Linked DNA regions of Nothobranchius furzeri. The protein of the gene in region 1 interacts with the protein of each later gene in a pairwise test. Links are inferred from orthologs where the notes say so. Each region holds a gene or a part of one and is shown on either strand. Other genes may lie near its edges.

Region 1 (3,662 bases):
ATGTCGCAACTGACAAAGTAAAACAGTGTTAACAATGTATTGCATTGTGCACAAGGAAAGGTAACACAACTTCACATTTTGAACCAAGAGGAGAAAATACACAACATGAGTTCAAACCCTTGTGGCTATTTGCTTTTTTAAGTCCCCAGTGTGGTTTTAAGAGGTCTAGGTGTTTCTGTTTAGAGTGTTTCATGCAGGCAGCTATGTGTGACAGGGTTTATGATGGCTCTAGATAACGAATCATGACCTAAACTCTGTTGATAGCTGTGGTTTTAGGTATTTCTGGGGTTTTTTCCTTTGAAACCCACGTTGCTATTTGAAGTTTACCTGTTTGCTGTCTTCTTCTTCTTGGGCTTTGCAAAACTCTTGCTCAATGGAGCAGTCCAGCTCACTAAACAGTCCCACCTCTTCACAGTTCTTCAAGAAACGTGTTGGAGTTGGCGTTTGGTCTGGAATTCAAACACAGTGTTGTCAGTTCTTTGCATTTATGTCTTTTTATTTCTGCGTGCCATCATCATCATAGAGAGAAATACGTGTTAATTTAGGATTTTTGCATGTTCATTTTTCAATAACAAATAGAAAAAAGTAGAACTATGGAACTTGCTGTCACACGTCGGCTCTACAGAAAAGTGTTCTGTCCGTTTTGCTCGGCAGCTTTTTGCTGACAAAGAACAGATTCCACCAACCGAGCGGGCCTCGTTTGTTGAGCTCTGACAAGCTGCAGCATTCGCCCCGACATCAGGGGGGGGTGGGGTGGGGGGGGGGGGGCTTACATTTCAGGTTTCTGACACTCAAAGGTGATTTTTTATGATCATGGCTGATTCTAAAAGCACATTTTTGTTGTTTATCTTTTCTGGCTGAAATGGAGATTTACTCATTTAAACATGACTTGTGAACCCAAAATATTGTTTTATTTAATTATTTATATATTTATTTATTTATTTATTTACTTACTTTTGGGGAGACAGAACATATAACCAAACCTCTAAGATGAGCTGTAGCTCATCAGATCAGTGTCTAAATATGAGAATTATTCGGACAGCTAATGACCAACACCCAGAAGACATGAGCCCCATTGTCTAAACAGCATTGGTGATAAAGAGGCTCCAATCTGAATCAGCTGCAGTGGTTAATAATCCTTCTAGGAAAACAGATCCATGGATTTCTTTGGCATGACCCCTGAGAACTGAGAGAATACCTCCTTTTCTCAGCCCGTATGGACTCTACTTGCACACTGCAGACCAACATCACTCAAAAGACTGAAAGATTCTCATCACCAAAAAGCAATTATGAGCAGAAATTAAGCTACAAATGCTGATTAGTCTGCTCATATGTGAGCGCGTCTGCATCGGCTATGTGAGCGCGTCTGCATCCGCTACGTGAGCGCGTCTGCATCCGCTACGTGAGTGCGTCTACACATCTGCATCCGCTATGTGAGCGCATCTGCATCGGCTATGTGAGCGCGTCTGCATCCGCTATGTGAGCGCGTCTGCATCGGCTACGTGAGCGCGTCTGCATACGCTACGTGAGTGCGTCTGCATCCGCTACGTGAGTGCGTCTGCATCCGCTACGTGAGTGCGTCTACACATCTGCATCCGCTATGTGAGCGCATCTGCATCGGCTATGTGAGCGCGTCTGCATCCGCTACGTGAGCGCGTCTGCATCGGCTACGTGAGTGCGTCTGCATCCGCTACGTGAGCGCGTCTGCATCGGCTATGTGAGTGCGTCTGCATCCGCTATGTGAGCGCGTCTGCATCGGCTATGTGAGCGCGTCTGCATCGGCTACGTGAGCGCGTCTGTATCGGCTACGTGAGCGCGTCTGTATCCGCTATGTGAGCGCGTCTGCATCGGCTACGTGAGCGCGTCTGTATCCGCTACGTGAGTGCGTCTGCATCGGCTACGTGAGCGCATCTGCATCCGCTATGTGAGTGCGTCTGCATCCGCTACGTGAGCGCGTCTGTATCGGCTACGTGAGTGCGTCTGCATCCGCTACGTGAGTGCGTCTGCATCCGCTACGTGAGTGCGTCTGCATCCGCTACGTGAGTGCGTCTGCACATCTGCATCCGCTATGTGAGCGCATCTGCATCGGCTATGTGAGCGCGTCTGCATCCACTATGTGAGCGCGTCTGCATCGGCTACGTGAGCGCATCTGTATCCGCTACGTGAGCGCGTCTGCATCCGCTATGTGAGCGCGTCTGCATCGGCTATGTGAGTGCGTCTGCATCCGCTATGTGAGCGCTTCTGCATCGGCTATGTGAGCGCGTCTGCATCGGCTATGTGAGCGCGTCTGCATCGGCTATGTGAGCGCGTCTGCATCGGCTACGTGAGCGCGTCTGTATCCGCTATGTGAGCGCGTCTGCATCGGCTACGTGAGCGCGTCTGTATCCGCTACGTGAGTGCGTCTGCATCGGCTACGTGAGCGCGTCTGCATCCGCTATGTGAGTGCGTCTGCATCGGCTACGTGAGCGCGTCTGCATCCGCTATGTGAGTGCGTCTGCATCCGCTACGTGAGCGCGTCTGTATCGGCTACGTGAGCGCGTCTGTATCGGCTACGTGAGCGCATCTGTATCCGCTACGTGAGCGCGTCTGCATCCGCTACGTGAGCGCGTCTGCATCCGCTACGTGAGCGCGTCTGCATCGGCTACGTGAGCGCGTCTGTATCGGCTACGTGAGCGCGTCTGTATCCGCTACGTGAGCGCGTCTGCATCGGCTACGTGAGCGCGTCTGCATCCGCTACGTGAGCGCGTCTGCATCGGCTACGTGAGCGCGTCTGCATCCGCTATGTGAGTGCGTCTGCATCCGCTATGTGAGCGCGTCTGCATCCGCTATGTGAGTGCGTCTGCATCCGCTACGTGAGCGCGTCTGCATCGGCTATGTGAGCGCGTCTGCATCGGCTATGTGAGCGCGTCTGCATCCGCTACGTGAGCGCGTCTGCATCGGCTACGTGAGCGCGTCTGCATTGGCTATGTGAGCGCGTCTGCATCGGCTATGTGAGCGCGTCTGCATCCGCTATGTGAGTGCGTCTGCATCGGCTACGTGAGCGCGTCTGCATCGGCTATGTGAGTGCGTCTGCATCCGCTACGTGAGCGCGTCTGCATCCGCTATGTGAGTGCGTCTGCATCCGCTACGTGAGCCCGTCTGCATCGGCTATGTGAGCGCGTCTGCATCGGCTATGTGAGCGCGTCTGCATCCGCTATGTGAGCGCGTCTGCATCCGCTACGTGAGCGCGTCTGCATCCGCTATGTGAGCGCGTCTGCATCGGCTACGTGAGCGCGTCTATATCCGCTACGTGAGCGCGTCTGCATCCGCTATGTGAGTGCGTCTGCATCGGCTACGTGAGCGCGTCTGCATCGGCTATGTGAGTGCGTCTGCATCCGCTATGTGAGTGCGTCTGCATCGGCTATGTGAGCGCGTCTGCATCGGCTACGTGAGCGCGTCTGTATCGGCTACTTGAGCGCGTCTGTATCCGCTATGTGAGCGCGTCTGCATCGGCTACGTGAGCGCGTCTGTATCCGCTACGTGAGTGCGTCTGCATCCGCTATGTGAGCGCGTCTGCATCGGCTACTTGAGCGCGTCTGCATCCGCTACGTGAGCGCGTCTGTATCCGCTATGTGAGTGCGTCTGCATCGGCTACGTGAGCGCGTCTGCATCCGCTACGTGAG
Region 2 (3,073 bases), on another chromosome or scaffold:
TAAAAAGCACAAAAAAAGAAAATAAAGATGAATTAAAAACAAACAGAACGTAAACAATGCAGAAATTTTAAAGAGATTTTTAAATCTAAAGACTAGAATGGTGCCTCAGATCGTAACGTCTCATAAAACAAGTGATTTCTATGTTTTAATAAGAAAATCTTCATTTTTGTTATACAGAAATTTTACATTTATTCGTTTTTAACCCGATTTCTTCGTCCACGAGGCTGATTATTAAACTTTTCTGCATTTTTAAAAGAAATCTTTCTGAGTTTTATTCATCAGCTTTCCTGCATTAAAGCTCGTTTAGATAAACGGACTAAGACGTGTTCTGAAGGCTCTCCAGAACATCGAAGATGTTTTCTCCTCTGTGACTCATTCTGCGTGTTTCAGAGGCGTTCTAGCTCCAGATTTCAACACTTTTATAAAAAATGAGATGAATAATCTGCTGCCGCCAGTTTTTATTTGAACTTTTTGTTTTTAAATCTGATGAAACGAGCAGCAGACTGTCTGCGACTCCCCAGAGATCCCACAGAGGGCAGGGTTTGCTGGCGTCTCACCCCGCCCAGCATGTCACCCTGCAGCCCGAGTTTGCCGGATGACTGTTTGTGTGTTGGAGGAGGAATTAGATGCACTTCTGCAGCGCGTCGTCCAATCAAGTGAGATAAAGCCGACGTGCTGTCTGAGAACTTTGACTCAAGGGCAAAGGTACGAGGAAGTTGTTCAACAGGAGCAAAGAGGTGTGACGTAAGCGTCGACTGGGATCAGTCCAGGGAAAAGTAAACACTGAAGCCGAGTTTCTCCTGAAATTTCTGCTCCTCTTCCGGATTTTGATGTTAGGAAGGATGGAAGTGGAGATCTTAGACGCAGAGCGTCTCCACCAGCGGCGTCCTCCTTCACGAAACACCCTGTTTTCATGCAGACGGCTGCCTACAGCACATTCCGTTCCAGTTTTTTTGTTCTTTATGACCAGACAAGCTCAAACCTCACAGTAATTCCACTAATTAGCCCATTTAGATGCCTTTGCTGTCTGTGAGCCGTGAGACAGCCCGACCTCTGTCTGCAGCTGGCCGAGACAAAAAGCTTTTCAGCACCTGTCAGCTCCTCGCTCAGACCTCGCACTTAAGAGTCAAACCGGGTTGTAAAAGCAAGAGTGGAGCTCAGACTTTCAGCACAAATCTGCCTTTTGAGCCTCGTGTTGCTTAAATTCAGCTCGTTCTGTTAGGAAATGACTGAACGTGGTGTAGAAGACAGAAAGGTTCTGGTTCCAGGTTCTAAACTCACCCCTTGCAGCATTTCTGTCAGCTCTCGCCGGCGGTTGCGGCATTTGGCTGCGGCCAACTTGTTCCTCTCACGCCTCACTCGTCTCTTCTCCTCTTCCTCTGGGGAGAGCTGCGCAGAACAACAGAGGCGTTATTTTAAATAAGACGTCTGACATCCGTGTGAAAACTTTCGGGCGTCTCTCACCTGCTCGTCCCTTTTGCGGCGACCTCTGGCGTCGCCGATGGAGCGGATGACCCCGGGCCGAGCCAGGGCGTTGTGGGCCAGCAGCCCCGGCCCGTTGGTCAGGTGATGGCTGTACGGATGCGAGCGGGAGTAGGGGTTGGACATGGAGGTGATGACGGTCGGCTGCACCATCCACTGCAGGTCTTGGCTGGTTGTGATTGCATTTATCGTTGGGATGAAGGCACTGTTGGAGCCGGGCATGTCAACCCTGTACTTCTGCAAGAACAGACACAAGCAGCTGATGAGAAACAGGAAAAAGGGGGCGTGGATGCACAGTGGAGGGGGGAATGATCCAAAACTGGGGAACTGGTGAGCAGCTAAAGGACGCTATTTAATCCCATAAGCATCTTAGTGTCTGTGTAGCTCACAGCTCAAACTCAGTGTCACCTCCACCGCCACCCACCATTACCACATTCACACATTTCCCACATTTTATAGTAATGATTCAATCGTCATGGACTGGAACCCCTGGAGAGGGACAATGACACATGCTGTGAATCATGTGGGAAAGCCCAAGGTGTCCACTTCATCTCATTTCACTACAACAGGCCCGGAACCAGTGGCCTGGACTGGAGAACCTCTCCTTTCAACCCAAATCTGTACCCTTCTGCTCACTTTTGACTTTTCTAAAGAACATATGTGAAACTTTCCCTACAGTCAGGTTAAACTGTGGTTTATAGTTGATCTGAGGCTAAATTAAATGAATAAACTTTGTGTTTTGAGCACAATCAAACACACGCACGTTCCAAATGTACGCACGTCCTTGCGCGTAATTCCCGACTTTCCGTCGGATATCCCGGCGGTCTGCTGGAACTTTGTTTATCTGGTGACTCATTGTGTTCAGGATTCGTTCAGCACGTGAATCTCTCTCGGTTCCAATCATGAGGAGGCGGCCGCGAGCTGGGACAGTTAATGGATATGAGGAGCAGAAGAATTACCCAAACGCGTTCTGGAGAAGGATCTGGGAGTTGTGAATATTCCTAAACACTTTGAGCGTGATAGCATTCCTGCAGGTGTAATAAAGTGTTGTTTCGGGATGGGGGGTGTCCTGTTCCGGCGCGCAGTCATGAGCTCTGAGTGAATGATTACACAGAACCGAAGGTTCGGGCCAAAAGTCGTTTACAGTAATGCAGCGCGCGCCTGACGCGTTTCCAGAGAATGTACCAAGACTGGGGCGTGGGGAAACGGCATGTTCCCGGATTCAGATCCTACTTTTGGGAATAAACACTCGTCACGTTCCAACACTCCCTGTGAAGTGGAGGGTTTGGTTCACCAAGCTGGCATTTCCTCAGTAAGGAAGTGTGGGCTTTTGATGGCGCTGTTGTGGGTCTAAGCGCGCGCTTCCCGCTGGAGGAAATGTGCCATGCACGGCCCGAGAGCTGTCTGGTCGAATCAGACCATCCATCCAGCCCGTGACCGGATGTTTCAGCATCAATAACGTAAACATATCCGCCAGCTTTCGTTTGAGCCCACTGCTGGTCTGGGCTGATCCCGCCTGTTGCTTCCAGGCTGAGCTGCGTCTCCTGCTTGGTACAGCCCGTGAGGTGTGGAGGTGAATTATCTTCAGGAT

What was found.
Region 2: the proteins of creb5b (region 1) and fosl2 interact in binary tests that used the Homo sapiens proteins (3 or more experiments, as listed by UniProt). The two-hybrid records come from large-scale screens. The link is inferred for Nothobranchius furzeri from reciprocal best matches to the Homo sapiens genes CREB5 and FOSL2.

Annotation. Positions count from the first base shown.
Region 1 is NC_091745.1:35,745,524-35,749,185, reverse strand, and holds part of creb5b (cyclic AMP-responsive element-binding protein 5), read right to left. Parts: intron 450-3,662; coding exon 328-449; intron 1-327. UniProt on the Homo sapiens protein: Binds to the cAMP response element and activates transcription.
Region 2 is NC_091758.1:42,821,273-42,824,345, reverse strand, and holds part of fosl2 (fos-related antigen 2), read right to left. Parts: intron 1,720-3,073; coding exon 1,465-1,719; intron 1,390-1,464; coding exon 1,282-1,389; intron 1-1,281.